3 linked regions of the Rattus norvegicus genome follow. The protein of the gene in region 1 interacts with the protein of each later gene in a pairwise test. Links are inferred from orthologs where the notes say so. Each region holds a gene or a part of one and is shown on either strand. Other genes may lie near its edges. The genes, in order: Cfap206, C5h1orf94 and Sox30.

What was found.
Region 2: the proteins of Cfap206 (region 1) and C5h1orf94 interact in binary tests that used the Homo sapiens proteins (3 or more experiments, as listed by UniProt). The two-hybrid records come from large-scale screens. The link is inferred for Rattus norvegicus from reciprocal best matches to the Homo sapiens genes CFAP206 and C1orf94.
Region 3: the proteins of Cfap206 (region 1) and Sox30 interact in binary tests that used the Homo sapiens proteins (3 or more experiments, as listed by UniProt). The two-hybrid records come from large-scale screens. The link is inferred for Rattus norvegicus from reciprocal best matches to the Homo sapiens genes CFAP206 and SOX30.

What each region holds. Positions count from the first base shown.
Region 1 is NC_086023.1:54,092,501-54,096,746, forward strand, and holds the start of Cfap206 (cilia- and flagella-associated protein 206), read right to left. Parts: upstream 2,884-4,246; 5' UTR 2,762-2,883; exon of another isoform or gene 2,705-2,761; intron 1,863-2,704; 5' UTR 1,858-1,862; coding exon 1,750-1,857; intron 1,198-1,749; coding exon 1,114-1,197; intron 347-1,113; coding exon 256-346; intron 1-255. UniProt on the Homo sapiens protein: Essential for sperm motility and is involved in the regulation of the beating frequency of motile cilia on the epithelial cells of the respiratory tract. Required for the establishment of radial spokes in sperm flagella.
Region 2 is NC_086023.1:145,586,294-145,589,943, reverse strand, and holds part of C5h1orf94 (uncharacterized protein C1orf94 homolog), read left to right. Parts: coding exon 1-451; intron 452-3,650.
Region 3 is NC_086028.1:30,922,651-30,926,300, reverse strand, and holds part of Sox30 (SRY-box transcription factor 30), read right to left. Parts: coding exon 3,573-3,650; intron 2,439-3,572; coding exon 2,259-2,438; intron 1-2,258. UniProt on the Homo sapiens protein: Acts both as a transcriptional activator and a repressor. Binds to the DNA sequence 5'-ACAAT-3' and shows a preference for guanine residues surrounding this core motif. Binds to its own promoter and activates its own transcription.

The sequences.
Region 1 (4,246 bases):
CAGACTGACAGAGTGTGGGCTGAAACTCTAAAACTGGACCAGAATAGACTTGTTCTCTGTGTAAACTGATTATCTCGGGCATTCTGTGAATGATAACAGAAGGCTGCCTAACAGATCAAAGACATAAAAGATCAAAAGACAGACAAAAATTAATGTGGTTAAACAAGTAAGCCTGTTATCAGCCAGATTTAACCTTTCTTACCTAAACTGCAATATTGAAAACTTAAAATGTATGAAGGTCGGTGTCTATGTTACCTCGACTGGTGTAATTCATGTCGAAGTAGACCTGCATTTTAATGGTGTCCAAGGATGGATTTTTGTTGTCCAATAGCCGTGCCACGCAAAGCTGGAAGAGAACGTTTGCATGAATGCTTCTGCTGTATTTTTCTGAAACATTCAAATGGTTGGTTGGTTTGTTTGAGTTTTGAATTTTGAGGTCTTATGTAGCCCAGGCTAGGCTCATGTAGCCCAGGCTATATCTTCACTATGTAACAGAGGATGATCTTGAGCTTATGGTCCTCCTGTCCCCACCTTCCCACTGCTCAGATTACCACACCTGACTCTATACAGCAAATGCCTGGGTATCTAACGCAAGGCTATTTTTTTACGCATGCCAGGCAAGCAACTGAGGTATCTAAGCATCTAAGTTATTTTCAAAAAGGAAAGAAAATGGGCAGAATACAGTATTCTCCTGCAAACCCCGCTCTCAACACTCACAAAACAGAGGCAGGAGGACCCACACAAGTTTTAGGCCAGTGAGAACTACAAAAGAGAGAGGCCAAGGTGGGGACACGGCGGGTCCTGACCCCCTGATTGACAGTGACAGTTGTCACTTTCTGAGAGGATCTGACTGAAGCAGACCATTAGTTCCTTTGTCTTTCTTCGTCATCCATCAGGGGGCATGACGTTGAGGAAAGGCAAGGGTGGGAGCCCAGGAGGCCAGGAACAACCTAAGTACCTCCAGACACTGTTTTATTAGAAAATAACTCCTCACTTGTTTACACTGCCATCTGCATTTCTTTATAAAATTGCTGAAGACGGGGTGGAAAACACAGTGTTCCATTTAAGATTTTAAACAGAGAATCCCAAACCCGAGGACTGTCAGTCAATCACCTTAACAAGTTTCTGCACGTCAGTCTTGACGAGGGTCCTATCCATGTTAAAGCCATTGCTGGGATCTAGGACGACAGCTTTCACCTACAAACACAGCATATGAAGTGATTTTACTCATATCGTGAAATTAATTCACTTCTGCTTTTTAACCAATTTCCTTGGTGTTCAGCTAATTTTCTTATCGCTCCCTCTTTAGTGCTTTCATTATGGGGTGGAGACAGAAAACAATAAACATCAAATATGGGCAACACATAGTAAAAAGGCTGAAAGGAACGGTTACCGTTCCTAGAGCTGGAAACTGGATCTCTCGTTCTCAGTATGTGTGGTTAAGGGCACAGAAGCCAAAGCAAGGAGTAACTTTTATAACATGCATTTGGACAAAAGTACACGTTAAAACTTCACAGCAGAATATTATTGAGGTTTCTAAGCTAACAGGATCTCCTAAATCACTCACTGCAAAGCTACAAGACGTTTTGCAGACTTGGAAAAGATGCCTTTCACCGAGTCATCTGATGATCTTAGTGTTTTCGACTAAAAAGCACCAGGAAAGCTCCTGAGAACTTTAAAGGGAAAAACCCTCACTTTCACAGTTTAAAATTTGTTTACAACAGGACTTACAAAAGTGATCAATCTTACCATAAAAGCAACCACCGTTTCAGAAGTGATCTCTCCATGGGCTGCACATTCTTGTCCTATTTCTCGTATGATATTCTTTATGACACTCTCTGCTTGTGTGGGAGGCATTGTGGCTGAGTAAAGCAATAATTTTCGTTTAGTAATTTCATTTATGCACTTTTCCTGGTTTGATTCCATTATTAGATCTGAAATATCCACAGTGTCTACAGAGTTATCACTATTTAATTATAATCTACTTTCCTCCTCTTTTTTTTTCATTTTAAATGACTTTAGTGACATAAAGTAACTGGGATTTCCCCCGAGTTTAAATCACTCCGCCATCAGAAATATATATTGTGACATTAAAAAAAAAAAGTAGCTAGGGATGGTGGCTCATGTGTTAAATTCATCACTCAGGAGGCAGATGCAGACAGATATCTATGAGTCTAGTGCCTGGTCTGACTAGGTAGCCTGAGTCAGGGCTATGTAGTGAGACCCAGTCTCAAAACCAAAATGTAAATAAATAAATAAATAAATAAATAAATAAATAAATAAATGCTTAGCAGAATTTTGGTGAAAAAGAAAAAGAAACGAAAAAGCAAGCCCATGTGGAGGCAACAAGAATACAGCTTGTAAAAGAAAGTGCTTATCAGTACATTTATTAGCGGATCTTTCACAACTGTAATACAATTTAATAACTGTAAGAAAAAAAGTTTTCCCGGATTAGTCCATCCTTGGGATACGGACTCTTAAGAAAAACATCAAAGGTCCAACCACATCTTCGAGAAGAACAAGTACCTCGCTTCCTTGGAAGCCAGTTTGCTCATCTGAAAAAGATGAGTTATCACCTTTTCCTGAACTTAGGAGTCTACTGAAAAGTGAGCGGCTTGGCGCAAGTACCCAAGCAATGCCAGTCACCAGCCCACCAGCGATGTCAGACCTGCAGGTCACACAGCCAGGTTGAGCCTACCCCTACCTGTGCACTTGCCCAGAGCGGGATGCCTGCCCGCCCACCCTGTTGGTTACCAACTACCAGCACTAGTTCTGCAGCCGTCCGACGTCCGTGTTCTCGCTGGTACACCTGCGGTTTAACGGCCAGGAGCTCCCTGGGCGCTGGGCTTGGCCCGAACGCCAGCCCAGCCGGCCGCAGCTCTCCCAGCCAGGCTCAGAGCCCAAGCTGCAGATGCGTAACCGTGGAGACCGAACAGGACGCCAAAGCTGGGGGCGGGGCCTGGCTATGGGGGTGGGGCCGGAGGGCGGGCCCGGGCCGGGGCCGCTGGGATGGAACCTTTGGGGTGGCACCTTAAGAAGAGGGGCGTCGGGGTTGGGGATTTAGTTCAGCAGTAGAGCGCTTGCCTAGCAAGCACAAGGCCCTGGGTTCGGTCCCCAGCTCCAAAAAAAAAAAAAAAAAAAAGAAAGAAGAGGGGCGTAGGGTTCTCCCTCAGTCTCCGAAGAGACAAAGCAAAAGAACTCAAGTCCCAGGCGCTTACACCTCAGTTTTAAGACAATGAAACGTGAGTTCTAAAATAAAGGTTGGATGTGCATACGCTGTTCCTGGTAATTTGCTAGCGTGGAAACATGGAAAAATACATCAGTTGAAAAGAATGAGAAAGTCTAGGGGTTATCAATGTTCATAGTTTTTTTGTTTGTTTTTGTTTCGTTTTTTGTTTTGTTTTGGTTTTTTTTTTGTTGTTGTTGTTGTTGTTTTGTAAAAGCATTCTTTCGAAAAAGGAAGTCTATATCCTGGTGTTCCAAATACCATAGTAAAACTTTTCATTAAGGAAGTGTTTTCACACCAGTTATGGTACCCCACCATACATAAAATGCAAGTAAGGAAACCTGTGCGTTTGGAATTGGGGGTTATAACTTTTGTTTGTTTTCTTGAGAGAGGGTCTTACTGTATAGTCCTGTATGATCTGGAACTGGACATGTAGACCATGAATTCACAGAGTTCTACCTGCCTCAGCCTTCCAAATACTGGTCATGTGCTGGATCAACGAAGGTGTTTTGATACCTAAAAATGTTTGTTGCATGGTTAGAGATATGGCTCAGAGGTTAAGGGAACTGACTGGATTTCCGGAGCACTGGGTTGATTCCCAGCACGGACATGGAGGCTTACAGGTGTCTGTAACTCCACTTCTGGAGAGCCAACTCCCTCTCCTGGCCTTGTTGACAGTCTACAGACACACACCCAGGCAAAGCACCCATTCATGTAAAATAAAACAATAATTTTTAAAACTTTTCAATGTGTGTTGGGTGAGCCTAATGAACTTTTTTTTTTGTTATATTTAGGTATTTGTTGGGGGCACACATGAGACAACTCAGCTTTTCTAAAATGTGAGTTCTAGGATCAAACTCAGGTCTTTGTGCTTCGTGAGGCAAGCCATTTACTGACTGAGCCTCTATATCTCCTCTTTAAAAAGTCATTCACAAGCAAAAGCCTGTGATGCCTACGGTTTCATTGATTAATTAGTTCTATCAATTGATTAATGTTGACATTGGACTGGGTCAGTGGTGT
Region 2 (3,650 bases), about 91 Mb from region 1:
CAGAAGCTGTCCATGCCCATCATCGGCAGCAGGCAGGACTCTGATTCTGCCATGTCTACAGTCACCGGCATCCTGCGAGCGGCCAAGGTCAAGAGTGTGAAGGGGACTAAAGACAAAAGTCATAGCCTGGGTGCCTCTAATTCAGAGATCAGCAAGCTCCTGGCTCAGTTCCCACTGAAGTCAACTGAAATGTCCAAGGCCCCAGACAACAAGATGGTGCTGGAAGAGACCAAGGTCATTAAGGACTTCCTGCAGAATAGCATGTTCAATGGCTCCGGACCCCGGGAGTCCATGGGGCTGGGCCCATTCCTGCTGCTGCCACCCCCACCTCCTCCCGCAGTCCCCGACAAACTCCCCGAGTTCTCTCCTCCGAAGAGGCAGCTCCCAGTGTTTGCCAAGATCTGCTCCAAGACTGAGGCTGACCCAGCTCTTGAGGGCCACCACTGGATTGGTGAGTGGGGCTGAGAACAGGAAAGTGAGGGGGTTTTCAAGGAAGAGAGCCTTGATCAGGAAGCTGATCAAGGCCATGGTGTGTCTTTGTGCAAAGCAAAAACAATGCAGCCTCTCTGGTTGTGTGTGTATGTGTGTGCGCCTAAGTGGTATATGGATGTTCATGTGTGGATAGATACACACACGTATATGTCTAGAGGCCAGAAGTAATGTCAGGTGACTTCCTCTGCACCTCTCCATATTCTTCACACACACACACACACACACACACACACACACATTTCTGTCTTCAGACATATCAGAAGAGGAAGTCAAATCCCATTACAGATAGTTGAGCCACCATGTGGTTGCTGGGAATTGAACTCAGGACCTCTGGAAGAGCAGTCAGTGCTCTTAACCACTGAGCCATTTCTCCAGCCCCCCTCCGTCTTATTTCTTAAGATAGGTAGGGTCTTATACTCACCAAACATGAAGCCCACCAATTCAGCCAGAGTGGCTGGCTCGGCAACTCCAGGGATGCTGACTCTGTCCCCAGCACTAGGATTACACACATGTGTTTCCGCACCCAGCTTTGTATACAGATGTGGGAAATCCAAACTCAGGTTCTCAGGCTGGTGTGAGAAGCATTTCACTAAGTCAGCCATCTTTCCACACCCTGCAAGACACATAATTTCTGATTTCATTAGGTACCCAGAGCATACTGGAGGATTTATTTACCTTATCAGGAAAGAGCCCAGCCTTGAGTCTAGGCTTGGAGAGAAAATTGATTGGCATATGGGGGTCACTTACCTTTTTATGGAGACACCCATCCTGGTCATCAGGACTGCTCCACCCTCCGTAGGGCATAAGTTCAAACTGTTGGTCCTGGGATTTGTTCTCTGAAGCTCTAGAACCTTAGAGAAGCATATTTTTAGCTCTTGAATAGGAACTCTGGTCATCCCAAGGAACTCATCCCCCTCTGGTGCTCCCTGCCCATCTCTGGGACTCCACATTGTGCATGTTCAGACTGGATTGCAGAGCCATCTGCCCACAGTCGCCAGTCTCTAGAAGAATAGATTATACTTGCGCCAACCAAGAGAAAGGTCACCCCCAGGCTGTAGTGTGATGCTTAACTGACAGTGCCTGTCTAGGGAGGGCTCACAGCCCTGAGAAACAGGAACAAGGTCACCTTCCCAAGTATTCTATATTCTGGAGCAGTGGAGGGACCCCGGGAAATCAGAGCTGAGGTGACAAGCTGGACATAGTACTCAGCAAACCTGGAGGAGTCACAAGGCTTTGGGATGATGGCAAAGGATGGAGGAGGCTTGAGCCCTCCCCGAGAGGGAGAGAAACACTTGCCCTCTCCTTCCAGAGGGGAACCTTCATGTTCCTCGATGAAGGGACTGCAGAACAGAGGTATCTTCTCCACTTGCCCTCCCCACACTCAGAGAGTGCCTTGTGTACAAACCCGCGGGCTAGGTGTGCCAGAGAAATCTTTGTTCAGGGTGAGCATACTCATTAGAGAAAGCACAGGGTGTAGAGCTGAGGGTGCCTGTGTGTGTGTGTGTGTGTGTGTGTGTGTGTGTGTGTGTGTGTGTGTGTGTGTTGGTAAGTGTGCTTGTCCTGAGTATGTCTGTATAGTTATGAGGCAAAGGGAAGACAGACAAATGAGGAGAGAGAGAGGTGGGGATGGGAGAGGGGGAAGAGAGGGGAGAGGGGGAGGAGAGAGAGGGGGAGAAAGAGAGAAAGGGGAGAGAGAGGGGAGAGGGGGGAGAGAGGAGAGAGGGGAGAGAGGGGAAATAGAGGGGAGAGAGGGGAGAGAGGGGGGAGAAAGAGAGAAAGGAGAGAGAGAAAGGGGAGAGAGAGGGGAGAGAGGGGAGAGAGGGGGAGAAAGAGAGAAAGGGGAGAGAGAGAGGGGAGAGAGGGGAGAGAGGGGAGAGAGAGAGGAGAGAGGGGAGAGAGGGGGGAGAGAAAGAGGGGAGAGAAGAGAGGGGGGAGAGAAAGAGGAGAGAAAGGGGAGGGGGGGACAGGGAGGCCGAGAGGCCAAGAGGCTGAGAGAGAGGCAGAGGCAGAGGTAGACAGAAAGACAGAGGGAGAGGGAAAGGGACAGAGAGTTCCCAGATGCCAGAGGGGTCTTGCAGATGTTGTAGCTGTGTGAGTGGCTGCAAATATGCTGGTCTCTGGGGAAAATGACTATTATTAGTGGCTATATTACTTCAGCGCTCTAGCTGGGGGCTAAACTCAGCAACCAGAGGAACTGCTGGAAGAGACTCTGGGGACATGCTCTGCTAAAAATGTCCCTGGCTGGAGCAGTGCTTCCCCTTTTTTGGGGGGGGGCAGGGAAGGTAGGGCCCAGGCCCATGCAGAGGCCCCGAGGGCTTGCTGGGTTGGGCTGGGCTATAGAGGAATTCATGATATGGTGGAATCACGTCCATTACCATCGGTAACGCTGAAGCACAGGCCCTCCCGATCTGACTGTTACTAGAGTTCCCAGGTGCTTCCACTGTGTCCAGAGCAGCTCATAGCCATCCACCTGCAGGCAGACTTCTCAGCCAAGCTCTGTCGAGGTGTTCAGAGACAGCCAGTCTGAGGAAGGAGTGAGGGGGTAGAGAGGCCAAAGTCCACTTTCTGCTTCTAACAGATAAATGCCTTAATAGTAATTATGTAACACTTGCGAGTACATGTATATAACATACAATTTATGTGTACACACATTTATCAAGCTGTCTCTATTTCTTGGTTCCAGGAACCCCTCAAATACCCATTCAAAGATGCTCAAGAGCCTTATACACAGTAGCACACAGCTCCCTCCCTCCCTCCTACACTCTGTACATAATCTATGGATCACCACTGGTGCCTAATCCAATGTAAATGCTGTGTAAACAGTGGTTACACCATTGGTTAGGGAACAATGACAAGTAACTCCGTATGCGTTCAGTGAGGGCACAATTCTGCCTTGAGTGTTTCGCATCCATTGTCCCACACACGGAGACACTCCAGTTTTGAAGAAAGGCTGCAACACTGAAGGGAAATATCTCTGCTGACATGTCAGGTGTATTTGCAATAAGACCTGAGTCTGGCACCCACTGAGTCCTTCCGTTGGGTGACTCCAGTCACTTAGGATGAGTCACCTTGTTCCTTTGATGCTCCTGCCATTTGTTTGTGATTGTCCAGGCCAGTGACATCTTTCTGATAGCCCCCAATGAGAGTCTTGCTAAGCC
Region 3 (3,650 bases), on another chromosome or scaffold:
TGCAAATTATAGTTTATAGTAGATTTTAGGTTTACTATAGGTTTTTCTGTTTGTTTCTTTGTTTTTTAAAGATTTATCCTATATAAGTACACTGTAGCTTTCTTCAGACACACAGAAGAGGGCATCAGATCTCATTACAGATGGTTGTGAGCCACCATGTGGTTTTTTGGGAATTGAGCTCAGGACCTCTGGAAGAGCAGTCAGTGCTCTTAACCACTGAGACATCTCTCTAGCCACCATTTCTTTGTTTTTTTTTTTAAGACAGAGTTGCTCTGTGTAGCCCTGGCTATCCGGGAGCTTGCTTTGTAGACCAGGCTAGCCTTGAACTCATAGAGAGATGCCTGCCTCTACCTCCCTAAAGGTATGTACCACTATAGCTAGCCAATAACTATGGTTCTTTAATACTTGTGGTATCATCTATTAACTAGCTTTAATAATTTTACGGTTACTCTAGAATGTGAAATTTCTAAACTTCCTAGTTACACTATCACCTCTAAATAATATGATATGGAACTGATGGAAATACCTAAGCATATTTCAAAGTTGGGTAACTGTACAGTATGTTAGTAGCAAGTAAATCTCTTCACTATGGATTATACTTATCTAAAAACAATTCTCAAATTATATTTATAAAATGTTTTGGCTTATCATTTGGGATCCAAGAAATGAATCTTTACCATTTCTGGCCCTCACAAGAAATATCATTGTAAACAATTTTTTAGAGTAGCCAACAAAGTCTCATTATCACATTTTTGTTTACTGTTGTATGTTTCTGAGATGTTTCCTGTAATTCTGTCTACCATATTTAAGTAATAAAATCATGATGCATAAACCCTACCAATATCAGGGGGAAATCTTTAGTCTTCTTCCAGCCCATATCTTTGCACAGATGGTGTAAAAGTGATATATTGTATAAAATCTCAACTGCTTAAAATAAGAACATTGATAAATCTGTTCATGAGAAACATGAGCATTTGAAAATGGGCAAAACAGATGCCAGGAAAGTCTGGGGTGCGGGGAGGAAGGGACAAAAAGAAGCACGTACTAAAGTAAAAAATAATATCTAAAACCAAAACAAAGAGATGGTAAAGCCCAGTTTGAAGCACAGTCTTACAGTCAACACTAAAAGTGCCTGACTGTATTGCAAAATGGAGGCTACAGATCAACTTTCTACAGCGTACACTAGTATCTTGAGTGCAGCTTTGTTTATTCCATTGGCTAAATGACACAGTTTAAAAGACACTGAAAATGGGAGCTGGAGAAAGAGCCCAGAAGTTAAGAGTACTTGCTCTTGCTGAGGACCCAGGTTCAGGTCTCAGTGTTGAAATACGACTCTAGTTCCAGGGGATCTAACACTTTCTGATCACTACACACACTATACACACACAGAGAGAGAGAGAGAGAGAGAGAGAGAGAGAGAGAGAGAGAGAGAGAGAGAGAGACAGACAGACAGACAGACAGACAGACAGACACAGAGAGAAAGACAGAGAGAGGCAGAGACAGAGAGAGAAAGAGAAGGAGGGTGGTGGTGAGGGAGGCAGGATGAGAGACTCATATAGGAACATATAGGAAAACAAACATATATATAATAAAATCTTTAATAAAAAAGTACTGAGAATGCAAAATATTACTAAGTCCATTTTCATGCTCTATCCCTCTCTAACTCATAGGGCCAGCTTTATCATTAGGAGACTAAAACAGGCAGAAACTGGCAAGAGCAACTTTAAGACAGGCAGCAGTAATAGTGAATGGACAGCACTCTCCCTAAGAGACGGTTGTAAACGTTTCGGAGGAACAAGCCAATAATGAAACAGGTAGCCAAGATTTGAGAATCTCAGTTTAAGACCAGACTGTAAGGAACATGAACCAAACAAGAAATGTATAGAAAATGTACAGCTTTCATCGCTTTTCTGGAGCAGTGGCCTTACTAATATCACTGAGAGAATGTCTCAACCCCCTCTAGCAAAGTGTTCTTCTATGCTGGAGGTTACACCATCCCTACTTTCTATGTAATTACACCAGCAATTTCTTCACTATCTGACTAATCTTGGCTCTCACCCTAAATTTCTTAGAGAGTCAGAGTTTTCTACATGGATCTGCTATTGCTCCTTCTCCCATTTAATGTTTCATTTTATCCCTTCTTGATTTTATTTCTTTACTATTGTTCTAAATTATAAATTTAAGAAACCAAATTTCCACTTAAGAGATAAAATTTTGATGTAGGTATTTACAAATTATCTACAGTAGGACCAACTCACCAACTGGATGAGTGATGGTGTTCTGAAGGCCGGGAATTACCACAGAGTAGGTAGGTGAGCGATAAGGATAAATTGTTGTAGGATTTGTAGAGATAATATTCTGTGTGGTACCAGAAAATACATTGGAAACACTTAGAGGGAAGCGTTTTCGCTTCCCTGGACGAGGCTGATAAACCCATCCTACAGAAAAAGAGAGACTTTTAATATGAATATCCAAACTCTGGCTTTTTCATATAAAAACACAGCTCACTTAAAAGTTTTAAAATATGGGTTGTCTAAAGGTATAGTTTCCAGCTCCATGATACTATTTCTGTGAACAAATCCTGCACTGTGCATTTTAACATCCACATAGCTGCTAACTCTGTTAATGTAACCCTTAATAGAGAGGAAAGTCAAATGCCTTCTACACAGGAACACAGAGTGATTTCATGATACAATCTACACCAGTCATTGGGTTTGAATCCCAAAGTTTTTCCTCTGTGGAAGAAAAATACCCCATAAGACATTATATATCCCCTCTGTTTATGCCTGATTTAAGGAATCACTCTCTGAGGCTTGGCAATTGCTAAAACCATAAACACCTTAATTTCTTCCCAGAGTCAGAAGTGTGGCACTATCATGTATACGATCACTGGTTCTGTCTAGGTGATACTTCATAATCTTGCCTCTTAAAAGTATTTCTGCTTATATTTAAGAAAAGATTTTCCCACTATGCACAGTTCTGTAAGCCACAAAGAATACATAGTTCCCAACCTTTATCTCAACGTCCTCACTGCTGAGGAAGAATCAGTTGGTCCAAACTGTCTCATGCTAGGAATAAATCTATTAATCAAAACACGGGACTATGTTCTGATACCCATAAGATATTAATTCCTGCATTTTTGTTATCTTTTAAGTGGGAAGTGTTTGTTGTTGCCATGATTATTTAATATGTCTAGTATATTACAGAATGGAACCATGGAGACTTACAGTAAATGGTAAAACTAGCTATATATGTCTGCTTGTACATACCTATATGTAGATGTGTATGTGTGTGTGTGTGTGTGTGTGTGTGTGTGTGTATGCTTGTACATACCTATATCTATTACAGTAAAACCAAATATCTCCTGACTTACAGTAGCTGGTAAATATGAAATCAGATATTTCACAACTGTATTCTACTTAAAATGTATGCTTAGTATTAATTCAATCACTATTATGTTAACCATTATTTTCTTTCTCACACAGAGATTAGGAGATCTCAACCTAACTTAATCTTTACCTAAATAAATTTAAAAGAAATTGGAAAGAGTCTTGCTCATTTCATTTGATTACCAGGAAATTCCTCTCTGTGCTTCTCTTTAATCTTTTGTGCTTCATCATAATAAGGTTTCTTTTGTTCTTCACTAAGTT